Linked DNA regions of Schizosaccharomyces pombe. The protein of the gene in region 2 binds, or shares a complex with, the protein of the main gene of each other region. Each region holds a gene or a part of one and is shown on either strand. Other genes may lie near its edges.

What was found.
Region 1: spf1 (region 2) and swd2 share a complex: the UniProt entries of both Schizosaccharomyces pombe proteins name them as parts of the set1 complex.
Region 3: spf1 (region 2) and shg1 share a complex: the UniProt entries of both Schizosaccharomyces pombe proteins name them as parts of the set1 complex.

The regions. Positions count from the first base shown.
Region 1 is NC_003423.3:1,780,531-1,785,608, forward strand, and holds swd2 (Set1C complex subunit Swd2.1), read right to left. Parts: upstream 2,690-5,078; 5' UTR 2,627-2,689; coding exon 2,451-2,626; intron 2,391-2,450; coding exon 2,126-2,390; intron 2,078-2,125; coding exon 1,445-2,077; 3' UTR 1,415-1,444; downstream 1-1,414. Other genes in the region: SPOM_SPBC18H10.05 (WD repeat-containing protein), read left to right, coding at 1-1,244; wbp4 (WW domain-binding protein 4), read left to right, coding at 2,729-2,782, 2,856-3,476; ubiquitin hydrolase Ubp4, read right to left, coding at 3,689-5,078. UniProt on the Schizosaccharomyces pombe protein: The Set1 complex specifically methylates 'Lys-4' of histone H3.
Region 2 is NC_003421.2:362,351-368,348, forward strand, and holds spf1 (Set1C PHD finger subunit Spf1), read right to left. Parts: upstream 3,133-5,998; 5' UTR 3,129-3,132; coding exon 1,854-3,128; 3' UTR 1,410-1,853; downstream 1-1,409. Other genes in the region: SPOM_SPCC594.04C (steroid oxidoreductase superfamily protein), read right to left, coding at 349-1,383; vsl1 (SNARE protein Vam7), read right to left, coding at 3,578-4,567, 4,604-4,639; bouquet formation protein Bqt3, read right to left, coding at 5,829-5,998. UniProt on the Schizosaccharomyces pombe protein: The Set1 complex specifically methylates 'Lys-4' of histone H3.
Region 3 is NC_003424.3:2,355,157-2,360,506, reverse strand, and holds shg1 (Set1C complex subunit Shg1), read right to left. Parts: upstream 3,189-5,350; 5' UTR 3,147-3,188; coding exon 3,039-3,146; exon of another isoform or gene 2,932-3,038; coding exon 2,810-2,931; exon of another isoform or gene 2,745-2,809; coding exon 2,576-2,744; 3' UTR 2,119-2,575; downstream 1-2,118. Other genes in the region: mannosyltransferase Imt3, read left to right, coding at 1-64; mitotic spindle checkpoint ubiquitin ligase Dma1, read left to right, coding at 1,134-1,937; gdt2 (GDT1-like protein), read left to right, coding at 4,025-4,081, 4,353-5,159. UniProt on the Schizosaccharomyces pombe protein: The Set1 complex specifically methylates 'Lys-4' of histone H3.

The DNA.
Region 1 (5,078 bases), on a different chromosome or scaffold from region 2:
TTGGCAAGCGAATTATGCAATGGGAGCCTTCTCAATTTAAAGAATCTGTGTGGGCCTCCGAAATTAGCAAAAGTGGAAAATATCTGGCCACCGCTGGTAAAGATGCAATAATTCGTGTGTGGAAAGTAATTGAAACACCAGAAAGAAGAGAAACTTTACTCAAAGAAGGTCCTCAAAGTTGTGGTCGTTTCTTTACCCCTTCTAGCATTTTTGAACCTGAACCTGTCCTAGAATGTGTAGGTCACAACGCAGAAGTCCTTTCCATTTCATGGAGCAAAAATGATTTTTTATTAACTAGCTCTGCGGATAGAACCGTTAGGCTTTGGCATCCAAAATCAACCAAATCCTTGGCGGTTTTCAGGCACAATGAGATTGTTACATGTGTCGCATTTCACCCGATCGACGATCGTTATTTTGTTTCTGGTTCCCTTGATTGCAAAATTCAGTTATGGTCCATTTTACGCCATAAAATATTGCATTGGACGGAACTTGAATATGTCGTTTCTACTATTTGTTTTTATCCAGACGGTGAGTCGATCGTTGTGGGCATGTTCTACGGATTATGTGCAATATATGAAACTAAAAATTTACAATATGTGTCCTCATGGCTAATTCATCATTCTCCCTCAAGAAATAAAAAATGCCGAGTCACTGGATTACAGTGCGCATCTATCATTCCAAACGATTCAAAATCCGACAACGTTGTTTTAGTATCTACTAATGACAATGCTATCCGGTTATACAACACGGTCACTCACGCTTTAGTGTTGAAACTGAGTGATGCTCATCGTGTTAATGGCAGAGTACTTTCTCGTTTAAGTGAAGACAACAGTTATATCATTAGTGGAAGTGATACTAATGAAGTAGTTTTATGGCATATTCCCAACAAGGTACTCATCAATGCATCAAGAAAACGCTCTGTCATTCTCCATTTGCCCACGGAAACATTCAAGGTTTGTAGTGAGAGACTGACTTCGACCATCATTGCACCAGCAAGGACTGCTGTCGAAGCTAAAGAGTCGGAACATGATCGCAGTTTAATTGCAGAAGGATACAATCTAGTAAAACCTCATAGTCACAGATCATATGGAACACCTCCTGTACATCCGATTGATATAATAATTGCTACCAACATGGCAGGTATGACTATTGTCTTGTGTGTTGATTATGATTTGGGGAATTCCCATCATGGATTTAGAAACTCAAAATTTGGACACTTTGTGAAGCGTTTATTACGAACCTAATCTCGATTCAAAACTAATATTACTTTACCTTTTTTTATTTTGTTTAAGTCTTCTAAGTCATTCAGGTGTCATTTAAAATAGAGGACTCATTTTTTCCCCCTTTTAAATAATAGTTATGAAGTTTTTTTATGAAATTGTTTTTAATAATAGTATAATATAATATTCATTTTTTCGTGGTTTGTTAAGACACAAAAACAATTTTACGTCCAGAAAATTACTCCAGAATGTGCTGTAACTAATTGAGAGAAGCGTGGATTAAAGCGAACAATAGAAGGTGTTTCTGGTAAAAGGTTTTTAGATGTTGAAGAAGGAATGATAGCTAGCGGGTTCTCTGTTGAATGACTATTGCTGGTCGGAGTAGTTGATGCTAGGCCCATTTCGGTGAATGAATTAACAATGTGATCCGAGTTAACAGTTTGTTTCAGTTCTGGTAGTTGATACATGCAAAGATGCTCATTATCATATGAAGTAAAAAGAAATTTACTATCTGGAGACATGCAAGCTGAAGCATAATAAGTCAAATTTCCATCTTGGGTTTTTGTGCTAACCTTTGAAGGAACTCTTAATAATTCACTTCCACTATAAGCGTCTATAACGTAATGAAAATCATTTCCAGTTGTTAGCAATAGATATTTACCATCAGTACTGAATTCCACATTTGCAATGCGGACATGAGGGGGCAGGAATGTTAAAGGAATGTCTTGAAATGGGCGAGCATCAAATGATTTAATGTTATAAAGAGAAATTTTGTATTTTCTTTCACTAACTGAGGCAAAGATTAGTCCTGTAGCATCAAAAGCTGCAACAACGGGTGAACTAACATTGAGCAAACCCTACGTATTCCTAGTTAGTTTGATTATCAGTAATTGTTATACTCATACCTGGCAATTTGGAGACCGAAGGTCCCAAAGGCGAATAGTATTATCTAAAGAAGCGCTTAAAAAAGTTTCATCTGCTGGTGATACATCGATTGAAGTCACTGTTTGCTTATGGCCAGGAAAATATCGAAGATACCGATTTGTCACAACGTCTAAATAACGAACGGTATTGTCTTCCTTTGTGGAAGCATGTATTAATGAATTTGAATGATGAGTAAACCGACCTAAATGTGCTCCGTACTTTTTGCTTGCAAGTGATTTCACAAATCTAGAAGTTCATGGTCAGTTAGCCAAACAGGTTTCAAAAGTGAATTTAAGAAGTACTTACTTTCCAGAAATGCAGTTATACAGTTGTAAAGTATCATCAGTACACGACGCCAAGCACAACTCTCCACTGTCGTCAAAACTGAGAGAGGTAATTTCACCAACAAAATTCTGATTTTTCAGCCATTTTCTTGGTTGCATAGACGACAACAAGTCAAAAGTAATTGAAACTGTTGTCATTACTAAATAACGGTATGCTAAAAGGTGGGTTTCCTGAGAAAAATATATGGGTAAATAAGTTTTAAGTATGTATTTAGTGCGTATCTCCTATTAATATTCAGAATGGCTGATTACTGGAAAAGTATTCCAAAATATTATTGTAAATATTGCCAAATAGTAAGTTTTTTCTATAACATCCAAAAATTATTTCTAAAGTGGTGAAATTAATAGAATCCTACTAACAGTACAGTTCGTGAAAGATACACCATTTGCGCGACGGAGCCATGAGCAAACTTATAAACATCAGGATGCTATTAAAAAAGTAATGGATGATATTCATCGTTCCAACCTTTTAAGGCAGGAACTTGAGAAGAATTTATCTATACCAAAATCAGCTACTGCTACCACTGCTTCAGCGGTGTCATCTGAACTAGCATCGTATGAGAAACCAAAAAAGGAGCATCCAAAATTACGTCCCTCTAAAAAAAAAGCTACTTTGGATGATTGGGATATTCCTACAAGTTCTACGGAGACTGACACCATCTCTACTACTCATACCAGCTATATTCCTACATTGCTAGCAAAGCAAGAAGAAAATGAAGAAACCAAGGAAACAACTACTAATAAAAATGAGTCTCTACCAGGGACCTCTTTGAAAAGAAACAGAGAGATCATCGAAAAAGAAGAAAGATCTTCATTTCATTTTCGGGTAAAACCAAAAAACTTAGATAAAGTACCTAAGTTAGCTGAAAACGAGGGAAACAAATCGCTAGAAAGCAAGGAATCAAATGAAAACAAAGTGGTGTTTAAAAAGAAAAAGTCTGGAAAGTTAAGAACAAAATCTTCCTTAAAAGAATATGATCAATCTTGAAGAAAAAAACCATCTTTGTTTAAAAAAAATTCTAGGATGAAAAAATTTTGTATCCAATTCCTGCATTCTGTTCAACATAACGAGAGTAGCTTTTGTGTTGGGTAATCAGCATTAAGTAAGTATTCATATCGGTTATGAATGCTAAGTTGAACATTTATTCAATAACTATATTTGAGGTTTATTGAAAACATTTTTCCTTTTTTTATTTTGTTTTATTTAACATTTCTTTTCAAAGTCATTTTGGGACACTTATCTTCAAACTCCTCCAACAGACTTGAGCGTTTATAAAAAAGAATGTAGGAAGAGGAGAAATCTTCTCTCAAGTCAGTAATACCGCCCACTGTTCGAACAATTGAGTCATCAATATGGCACCATTCATTATTAAAAAGTACATCAGATATATAATGTCCATTTTCGAGCTGGCCATAATGACAGATAAATGCAAACAGGTTATAATTGCTAGGAATATAACCAATTCCCGATTGGAAACTCGGTGGTACCAGCATTTTACTTGGAATCTGTAAGCTCAATCCAAGTGGTGTATCAATTTTTTTACGACCCATTACGGATATTTTAAATCTCTGAATTTGTATGATCAAATATTCAGGTAGTTTCGAAATCATAATTACTTTTTTTGCCGACCTTTGAACCTTGCACACGGGACAATGCCATCCATCATGCCCTTGCAAGAGTTCAGGAGCTGAAAATTTTAATAAGCATTCTTGTAGGCTTACTACATGGGAGACATCGTCAATCGGTATCGCAAGCGATGTGAAGGGAGCAAAAGTAGTAGATGTGCGGCCACATGTCATACATTGAGTACGACTGCAAAGTTGACCTACAAAATTGTTGACCACAATACTCTTGTTAGACCGGAGATGCAAGTTCCATTCAATGTGTGAAAAGTGGGACAATGGGAGTTCTTCTCTGGCACTTAATTGATCTTCCGTCAACGGTGCTATCGGAGACCGAGATGCATTGGAGTTCAAATCTTCATGAAGTTTATCAAGAAAGAAATTTAAAAATTCTTGAGCATCGCATTGGCCATCGATGGAGAAATCTCTATTCAATGACTGTACAATTTCTAAAAAATTCCTTGGAGATATTGATCTCTGACCATGGTTTAATAAGACACTTTGAAGCAAGGAAAAGAAAGCAGATGTGATTTTTCCACCGGTACCCAATGGATTTTTGGTATTGATATTTTGAAGCAATCCTCTCCCCTGTAACATAGGAATAGTCAAGTCCTTACACGCAAAAAGACATTGCAGGACACAATTCATGTAACAAGTATTACCCAAATTCGTTAAACCTATAGGCTGATAATTTTCATACGATAAAGAACTATCAACTTTCTTAGGGTTCGCCAATTCCATGAAATGAGGATCCAACTTCAACGAACGTAACATCGAGTAAAGCTTGTAAGCCAAAGAAACGTCTTCGAAGTATCTTTCCAAACTGTAACAAATAACCATGCTTGGATGAAAAGGTGCGGATTTTAAAAAGTCATATATTTTTGAAGAATCCATCGATTGCAAACAGGATATTGGGATGGCAATCGTGTGCTTCGAAAAAACATAACCCTTTGAAGACTCTTGGGAA
Region 2 (5,998 bases):
TTGTTTCAAAAAATAAAAACAAATTTTTTTTTCTGTTCTGTGTCCTAATAGACATTAGCAATACTATAAACAAAGCCACCACATATTATAACATGGATGAAGAATTCACAAATCAGCATGGAAAAAAATTCACGGATCAGTTGCATAAATAAAGCTTGCATAACTCATCGACAAAACATTGGATAAATAGACTAAGATAGATACACAAGATAATAATACATAAATAAATTACAGTGAACCAAATTTTAGAGAGGGGGTAAAACGTCAAAAGGTTTTGTTACACCAATTGACAAATGAAAATGAAACGAGATCCATGGATCACTAATAGAGGAACATTTTGTTTCTCCATTAATCCTCCTTTAATGATGCATCGTCATCCACAATATCCCAATGACTACCATCTAATCGAGGAAAAAAGCGGCCGACTTTATCTTGATACACTCGATATAACGGATATTTTTCACAGGACATCTTTTCGGTAAGTCTGGTCGAGCCTTGAAAAACGCCCACTAGTCCAAGCCATGCAAAAATCGTCCAATTCAATAGTGATTCTGAAGCGATCGCTCCAAATAGATAAAATGAAAGCCAAATAAGTTGTTCTGCTAAAAAGTTGGGATGGCGACTCCATCGGAAGAGCCCTGTAGCATTGAAACCACGTCCAAGCGACAACAAGTCATACTTAAACCGAGGTGGCACGGTTTTGTCGACATTGTAATGATTTCGCGCTTCATAGTAATCCCATTGCTGTTGGTCGGCTAGCATTTCTAGCACAAACATAAACATGAAAAGCTCGAGTGCTATCCAATCCCATGCTCCAAATGCTCGTTCGTTTCCAGCCAACATGGCAATATACGTGGGAGATGCAAGCAAATATAGGTGGAGCACTTGAAAGATATGAATGTAAAAATAGTGGAATAATGGATATATCCATTTAGGCATGATTTGGCGAACTCTCACCCAACGATAGTCCTCTGCTCCTCGATTATAACCTCCTTTACGGTAATAATTGTAAGTAAGACGCGCGGACCATAGAGTCTGCAAAAATGCCATAATCATTAATCTTCGCGAAGCAATGTTGTATCCCAAACCATAAAACAGAAAATGCAAGGAAAAAGCCGTTGGCAGAATTGGCCATAGCCGATCCACTTGCGATGTATTTTTCGTCCAAACAGACACTCCCCAAAGCACATTTCCCAAAATAAATGAGAGAAGTAGTCCTACAACAAATGGATTCGTATTATAATAAAAATCTGCAAAATTCAACTTTCCAGTAAACAGTAACTTCAAATTGCTCAGTTGATACAGGTAAGGAGATACTGCAACTTTCCATTTTGCGGCATCAGATGCCGAATAAATAATTGGCATGGTGGATGCCAAAGTCATAGTGCTCGTTTGAAAAAGAACAATGGGAATGTCAGAAAGTTGGCTTTCTATAGCTCCACGAAATCCTCTGTCTCATTGTGACGTTAGCTTCTGGAATAAGAAGGATTAGTGAAATCCAAGGAGCCTGCGTTTTCCAAAAAATAAAATAAAATAAATTTCAAAACAAAAGAGAGAGAAAACCTCAAGGCCATTAAGACATGAGTTGATAAAAAGAGAGGGTGTAGAATGTATGTCCTTATGTTAAAAAGTGACTTTTTAGAAGGAAAAACCAAATTACCATCTGTCAACATTATTTTGCGAAACAGGGAGTCAATAAATTTAAAGCCAAAATTAAGAGACAAATGCCAAGCAATATAAACTTTTCTTTCATTAACATTTGCGAATCAATGCCTCGTGATTTACATGAAATGATCTAGAAATTAAAGCAAACTTCAAAATTGTAAATTAAACCAAAAGATGCATCCTTCTGTTTATTTTAATAAATTAGCCATTTTTTCGGGAGATAACTGTTCATGACAAAATCGAGCATAACCGTCGTATTGTATCCCGGGTAGGCACCTCTGTTTTTGATGCTCCAACATTACATCTTTGGCAGTTTGCTTCATGTTTAGTTTTTGTAAAATATTACTTTCTTGCAACTCAAAATCTTCGGTAAAAATTACCTGCCAGCTTGTGTGCTTTGCACATCTTCGCTTCTCTGTAAAGCAGGTGGACTCAGGAGAAGGATCTATACTCATGTCAAGAGATAGCGGTGCTCCATTTGAAACTTTTTCCCACAATTCATTCATTTGTTGTTGATTGAATAAAAGTCGAGAATCGAATCCACACAGATCTTTCTTAATACCTTCTCTTTCTTTGTAAGCAAGAACCGCTCTCCGCGAAGAATCTTTGATCAACTGAAGAAATATTTTTTTGTTAGATGCTACTTCTTTCTCTTTATTTAATTGCACAATTTCTGCGTTCAGCCTATTGGCCTCCTCAATTTCAAAATTGTACACAACTTCAGGAGGAACTTGGCTTGGCAATGTCGGTCCCACCGTACCCAAATTTTGAAATTCTTCCCTTTTTTTTGCAAACAATACAAGATTTTTTATAGCAGAAGGTTCAACCGTACTCAGCTTTACTTTTTCTCGAAAAAAATCGACTCCATGTTTATCACTACAATAGTTGGAATTAGGTCTTGTGGGATTCGAGCATTCTCGTAACCGGCATTTTCTTTTCCAAGTAGTTATACCCTTTCCTTCTTCTGTGCATTTAGGACAAAAGTACTGTACAGTTAAATCATTATAAGATTCAGGTATATTAACGCAAGTGCCATGAAACCAATCTTCGCAACCATCACATCCTAACATCCATGATCCATCATCAGGCTTTTGGCATATACAATACAATGGTCTTTGATGATCGGCTGTAGACAGATTGAGTTGGCTATTCGCATTTCCTCGGTGTTTTCGTGGACCCCTTCTATGAGCTGATACGGGTGGTTTTTTGGGTATTGTAGGCTGTTGAATGACTTGCATTTCTATGTCTGTTTCCGTTGAGGAAGAATCAACGTGACCGTTGACTTCTTCAACCTCCATTTTAACAGATTTATTGAGAATTACGTTGGCGTCTTTCTCTTCCTCATTGTTAGCTGTCTCGATATGAAAATCAGTAATGGTGCCTCTATTCGAATCCTCAAATTTTACAATTGATTCTACATGAGTTTTTTCATTTTCCTCAGTATTCTCTTGCGTTAATTCCATTATTGGAATTTCAGTTGTCTAAGTCTGTCAATAAGTAAAATCTAAAGAAAGCGAGCTTAAGCACAGTACACTAAATGCATTAAAAGGAACTACAAGCCAAACCAAAATACAAAAGAAATGGGGTCTGTCAAAACAAGTTGAAATTTAAACAAGTCGTATATTAATATCAAGCTTAATTAAAGGAGACAATTATTTCAACCTTGACGGACGAACTAACCATGCCTATATAACTCACAGAGGTTACTGCGGTATCTTCAAGAAGATTAAACAAAAAAAAAAAAAAAGGAAAGAACGCAAATACACCAAATAATAAATATTTTTAGCCCAGATAATCTCATCCAAGACAATCACTAATGTAGCAGAATTGGATAGAAAACAAGACAAAACTGCAAAAGAAGATTCCATTAAATTTCGTGAAATTAAATCAAATACTCATAAACACCCAAATATTAACCCAATTTGCGAAGGCCAGCTCGTGTTCTGTGTAGCTTTTTTTGGTTTGCATATGCTTCATTAGAAAGCTCGTCTAACATGGAGTTTTGCTCGACAACTTCTTGATTAATCATTTTCGAAAGCTCCTTCTGCCTTTGAATAATAGGCAATAACGATTCTGCTTGCATATCTTGATCTTCCATAGTTTGATTCTGCATGTTGTACAGTCCTACATTATCAAGCTTTTTTGTTGTCTGTGTCTCTGGCATTCTGTTTTTTCCAAGGACTCTGTTCAAAGAGGTATTAGATTGTTTGTCAGTAGATGCAGATAATGGGCGAAAGGGAGAACTAGGATTAGAAGAGTTTAATTGAGATGAGGCAGAAGGAGGAGCGACTGGGCTGTTTGCATTTTTAACTAACCGTTTAAATGACAAGAATTCAGAACCAAGCTGTTCTAACATATCTTTTCGTCGAAGGATTTCTCCTGGACCAAGAGCATTTGCTAATTCTAATTTGTCTAACGATTCTGAAAGGTTATCCATTAGCGACTTTATTGCATAGACATTCTTTGTTTGAACTCCTATCGTAATGCTTTTTCCACTCATTAAGTCAACTCGGTACATATGTAAATTACGTTTACAATCTTGAAATACTTGAATCCAATCTGTCGGACCCAAAAACTGACCCTGTGTTTCATCTTCCGATTCATCTTTAATATTTAGAAATTTTTTAACCACAGGCATTTTTATCCATGGCGTTTCTGAAAGGCATTGAACGTAAGCTTGTAAAGCAAGTCGTCGAGATTCACGTAACTTTTCATTTGTCACAGTTGAAGAAACCCAAGATTTAGAGGGGAGTTTGCAAAGTCTACTGTTGTAGTCATTTGGCCGAATTTGAGCATCCAAAGCAACGAATTCATTGAACCGACGAAATACAACATGTTTCCCACCATTCGGAAATGCTACTTCAATATGGTAAACCGTCCATCGTGAATATTCATCAGAAGACTAGTTGTAAGTAAAAATTAAAGGAATAAAGCTTACTTGAGACGTTTCTGGTATTTTAATTTTTAGCGCCATACTTGCTATGAACAGGTTGATCAACAATGAGTTCATGAACAACAGACTACTGTATCGGATTTACTGCACTATCGTTATAAAACTGTATAATGTAGAATTTGAGCTTTCAAATAGTATAGGTTCTATTAGTTGAATAAAGATAAATTTCAGTTTCATGATGCTTTAGATCCTTTAAACCTCATGTTTTCCTTGATGCGCGAGATGCCTTTACGATTATCGAATTGGCAGGTATTGAAAGAAAGTTTACCAGTTTGCAATAGATTTAGAAATTAAAATAATGAATTAGGTTAGTATATTATCTTATACCTTTAAACACTTTATAGTCAGATTATTGAGTATTTTTTTTGGCACTCGTGAACGGTGCAACTTACAAGTAATTACAATACCTAAACAGAAGAACGGCAAAATCTTAACGAAGCTTAGTAATAAACAGAAATTGTTTATTTTCTATATTTTCCTACATGGATTGGTTGCAAGCGCGACTTGCCTAAAGTATTAAAAGCACAGAATAAACGCCAGATCGTAACATTATGCAAAAGTGTAAGTATAGGTAGATTCCAAATAACAACAGTACTCTGATATGCATAAAGATTTTTCACTTAAAATACATGTCATGTAAATATAAAGGCCCCACAGATGATATATAATAGTACTAGTGGAACTTAACAACTGTTTTTTCATATCACGAGAGGGAAAAATATACAGCGAAAAGACTTCTCACATTTGCTTAAAGTATAACCATATACTGCTTTTGAACGATCATCCAATTCAAACTATGCGACCCTAATAGATGAGAATAAAGGACGAAACATCCCACAATGGATATCTTTTAAAAGAGTTCGGAATCAATTTGAAACCACAGTCATTAAATTACATATATTCATAGTCAGTTCCACACATGATGTTCAACTCAGAAAGAAGAAATCTGCCTCCTTCATCAGAAATAAATTCCACCGTGAAAACGAAAAATGAAAAAGAGAAGAAAAAGGGCATTAACCTGATGAAAAAAGTTTGACGTTACCTCACTGAAATTATTGAACACGAGTAAAGACATATAGACAAATTTGGAAAATCCCATAACAGATACAATGAATTAAGATAAGCCCATGAGAACTTCCACCAGGAAGTAAACAACCAACTAACTACATTACAAGAAAAAAAATGATGTAAAAGAAACAGAACTCGAACTTTACAGAGACAATGCCCAGCAGATAAAAGTGATAATCCAAATTTGTGACAAGTAAGCACCCACCACTTGGAACATGGCGGACCAATTCATTGAAAACAAAATTGAATAAGGAATAAAGCAATTCCACAGAGTAAGGAAAATCATCAAAAATAATGATTGGGGAATAGGCC
Region 3 (5,350 bases), on a different chromosome or scaffold from region 2:
TGATTCTTTACCTTTCATGTCTGATTATGATTTGGAATCGCAAACTCAAAGTCACAGTCCCTAAAATTACTCGGCATTTGCTACTACAAAGGCTTCATTTGCTTTGAAGTTTTGACCTGTCTATCTTTTCATTTTCATAGAATTATCATAAATCCTTGTATTTCATTTAGTTTCGTTCTAGTTTTCTAATATAGTCTATTAAAAGCAAGTAATTTCACAATTGTCTACCGTGATCGGAAAGGGATATATACCATGAAATGACTCAAGTCCAAATCTATAAAAATAGAAATGCTAAAGATATTTTCGGAACTACTCATTTCAACTTACTTTTTGTTTGATGGATTTTCAGCTAAATTCTAAATTATACTAAAACAATAAATTATTCAACATAAAAACGGTGTTGCTTAAGTCCATCTGTATGGTGAGACAAAGATAGACAAAATACCATCATCGTCATTGTTTATGCGACGCATCTAGTTTTTTATTTGTTTTTATTATTTGTTTTGTTTTATTTAATGCACAATTACTATACCGAAGAAAACATTGTGTTGTACCGTAAGTTGGATACCGAATTAGTCATGCGCCTTTCGAGGCGGCATAGCATTAACTGTATTCGTTTGCAGCACCATTTGACCGTTTACTGTGTGCAATTTACTTGTTCTACTAAATTGGCTTCATAATTTATAACATATTTTTCTGATAACAGCGAAAACTATCATTTTTTCGATTGCTTTTCATTTACAGCTAAATTCTGGTTGATTATTAAAAGTGTTTCTTTTCGGAATTAAAGTGTGCAATTCAGTTAAGAGTTCTGTTTGCTGTCCTTCCTTAGCTTTCAACAGTTTGTTTGTTTTTGAGGCCTTTGTTTTCGTTTTTGTCTCTTGTTGCTTCCAAACTTTAATACATAAACACAACAACCCCATATACTTTCGTATTTTGTTAGCAATAGATTTGAAACTTACCTTATCTTCAATTTACTAGAAGGAAGGCATATTTCTTTGAACTTTTTCTTGGATAACATCAAATTGGTATACGGAAGACAATTTTCAAAAGCTTTTAACATTAATTTATTTGTTTTTTGTAACTTTCTATCCTCCATTCAATTGTTTTAATAAAGCTTTTCTTTCCAAAAAATGACAAAATCTGTTGAGGGATACCTCAAAGAACAGGAACTTGCCGCTGAGACTGATTCTGAAAAGGACGACGATAAAATATCAATTCGTTTAACTAACTTTGTCGGTCCCAATGCACATTCTTTCTCTTTTGATCCGTTAGTTCGCTACTGGAACCGCAAGCAAAATAATCTACCCATTTACATAGGAAGATACACAGAGCGATACAACGGCGGTGATGTTTCTGCTATTGTCTTCCGTTCCAAAGTTGTGAGTAGAAGGCATGCACAAATATTTTATGAAAACAATACTTGGTACATTCAAGATATGGGTTCTAGTTCTGGTACATTTTTGAACCATGTTCGTTTATCACCGCCGTCAAAAACGAGTAAGCCTTATCCCATCTCGAACAACGACATATTACAACTTGGGGCGGATTATAGAGGAGGTCATGAAGTCAACTATCGTTGTGTTCGTGCCCGAGTTGAGCTAAACAACTCTTGGAAAATTAAGCTTAGTCCTTACAACCTTAACGAATTCAAAAGAATGCAAGAACTGGTGTTATGCGGATCTTCTGAATCGGGTCCTCCGGAATGTTGTATATGTCTTATGCCTGTTTTACCTTGTCAAGCATTGTTCGTTGCACCTTGTTCTCACTCTTATCACTATAAATGCATACGCCCAACCCTAAACGAAAGTCACCCATACTTCAGTTGCTTTATATGTAGAAAATATCATGATTTGGAGGCTCCTGTTGAAGAAGGTGACGAAAGTCTAAATGACCTTCTACGAAATGCAACGGTAAAAGACGATGCATCTGAGTAAACTGTTATTTTCAGTATGGTTACTAATTGTCTTTTACGTCCTCAAGTTCTTCCTTTAATGACCATCGTAACATAATGATCATATTATATTTAGTCTTTATGAGCATGGCAGAAGATTATGGGAACACAGGCTCTTTGACATTTGCTGTTGCCTGATGATTGAATTAAACAAGCATGCCTCCCTAACTTTATTTATCAACACTCATAATGATTAAATATTTTATTGATGAGAAAACCAAGTGCTACTTGGTCTCTTTTATTCATTACTGCATTAATATAATTATCCTAAATGGATATATAATCTTAACTTCTGTCGTCCTTCACACCTGATCTCTACATACTCTCACATTTTTTTATTTTTTTTGAAACATTGGCATCACAAATGAATGTACTAATAATCAGCAGTAATAGAGATCCGAATCTGAAAGAATTGTGGTTGTTCTTCTGAGAGTCCATTTATTATCTCCTTCAGCATCATTAAATGTTATAACTTTTAATTCACTTCTTATGCAACCTAATGTGATTGCTGGTAAAATTCCCGAGAGTACAATTCTTAATTGTAATAAGTATGTTCAGTATATGCAATTTAGAAGTAATCAATAACAAAACTTTTTCAAACTTTTAAGTAGCTAATTATCTTCATTTGCGCCCATCCATGGTTTTACTATTCAGCAATTTTTCTTCATCCTCATGCTCTATTTGTTCAATCCCTATTTGTTCAAGAGAATTATAAATAACTTCCCTCAAATCTTGATCAGATAAAACATTGCTTCGGATGTGTTCCATGCTATCTTCATACAATGAAGATCTTATGGGTTAGACTGAGTTTCCAAAAAGAAAAGAAAAAAAACCATTATTAAGTCGTAAGCTTACCTATCTACGGCACCTGCAATTAAAGGAGCAGCCCTAAACTGGTCTTTACTTTTGAGTGTGCGATCTTTCACCATTTCTTCATCAATGATTTTTTTCAGCCGATCTAATAAAGGCCCTGATTCCTGAGGCGATGTTAGTATGGCAAAAGAGTGAGTGACATTGGTATCATTATGATAGTTAAAAAAAATAGTGATAGTTTAATTTTTGAGGAAACTATCGATGACCCTACCTTTTCATTTACTGTTTCTAGAATTTGTTTTCGAAGGCGATCAAAATGTCCTTCTTTTTTAAATTTAGATACAAGTTCATCAACATTAAGTGTTACATCCCTATCCATGCCTTTTGTTTATGAATTGACTACACGGTAAAATAATGTGGTAAAGAAAAGAATTTTCACGAAATGTAAAGATTTGATTACAGATTATTCGGCCATATTTATACTACCTTATTAATAAAACTCGAGTTATTTTACAAGACACATTTAACTTGAATTAATTGATCGTGTCTTGATTGCTCAATGTAAAAGTTCTTGAAGTAATATCTCGCAGAAGGGACTTCGTACAATCACCCTGTAAGAAACACGTACTAACGAGGTTTAACTTAAATGCGATGTTCTGTTGTTAAGGCTTTACTTTGACCGTTTGGCTAGTGAATTTTCTTATGTGTTTATGGTTGAACTTGCGTTATGTAGGTAGTGCAATGTGAGTTTCCCATCTAAAAAATTATCAAACTTCTGTTTGGTTTCGCGTATTACACTTACAATTAAAAGGATTGGCATTGGTTCCTATTGCTACAACAAGTAATACATGAAAGTAAAAAAAAGGCATAAAATTATGAGCATTTGCAAGTCCTAATGCTTGTATTATACCCACTAATGATCAATTAATATACAGTCAAGTGGTAACTATAACAACTTTTCGAAAGATAAGAGTTAAAAACCTGTTTTAAAACAAATTAGAGGTTTTTGGCATATGCCACGTGAAGGCCAGAAAATAAATGAAAATGTTTTACCGATACTAACCAAAGACACAGGCCTATTTTCAAAATGTGGTTGTTTTTCTGAATTCATTTAATTATAACTGCTTTTTTTTGGTGTGCGCACAATACGTCGAAGAATTTGTTAACTACCTTTAAAATTTCAGCTACACCAAACTTTGCATCTACGCTCAACAAACATTGCAATTACTATTTGCATCCCAGTCTTTTAATATTGTCATGAAAAATCCAATAAAATGGGCGATTATAGCGGTTTTGCTGTCAACCGTCGTGGCTGTAAGTTTTTTCCTTGTCCTTTAGAACACGTCTCATTGGTTCTTGTGCAATACAATCGTGATTAGTTTATTGTTGTACAAAGACGAAATAAATTCCGTGCAAATATGCAGGTGATGCAGAATTTACTTTGTCTCAGTAATTTACGATTTTGCTATAATCGTTTTTCTACATTCTTAAATCAATGATATTCACTTTTCCTTTTGGAAGAAGTAATGTTTTGATAGATAATTGAAATCAAAGTTTTTTTGCATTGAATCTAACACTACTTTAGAAAAAAATCGTTGGCGAAGGTATGGCAGACGTGTCAGCTATCAAACATCCAGAGGAAGTGCACCCAACAAACCGTGACTTTCTTAGGAGTTTGATCTTCTCTATATCTATGATTTTTGGTTGTGAAATAGGAGACAAGACTTTCATCGTAGCTGCTCTTTTGGCCTTTGAAAACTCTCGATTAACTGTTTTTGCTGGGTCATACTCAGCTCTATTCATCATGACATTATTAGGAGTACTTCTTGGGCACGCCGCTCCATTACTTTTTCCTAGAAAGTTAACGGACATTCTGGGAGGTGTCCTTTTTGTGATTTTTGGAATTAAAATGCTTATGGAAGCGAAGGAAGTTATGGATTCTAAAGAATCCATGTCTGACGAATTTCAGAACGTCCGCAACGAAATAGCTGCTAATGGCCCCATCGACCAATTGTTGGAGGAAGGGGCAGCACCTTCCCACTACACTGGTCACAGGTCTCGCTCTGGACATACTTTAATGTCGCAATTAAAATCAAAGGGACGGAACGTTATGGCTACCCTGTTTTCTCCTTTATTTATAAAGGCGTTTGCACTTACCTTTGTTAGTGAATGGGGAGATCGCTCCCAAATCGCTACTATTGCAATGGCTGCTAGTGATAATGTTTACGGTGTATTCATGGGGGCTAATGTTGGTCATGCTTGCTGTACAGCTTTGGCAGTTATTTCTGGAAAATATATTTCTACCAAGATAAAGGTTCATAAAGTCATGTTCATTGGAGGAATACTCTTTATTGCATTTGGATTGGTTTATTTTTATCAAGGCTTTTTTTAAAATACAACGTATTACTATGCCGTTAGAAATAATAGATACTATAGAATACAATCTTTTTATAATATGTGTTATTTGTTAACACAACACCTACAGAGCCATTTAGTTATTTCATTTTGTTCCGATACATAAATCACTACATAAAACCAGTAATCATCATGTTCTTAAATAGATGACAATCTGTATTTGTATTT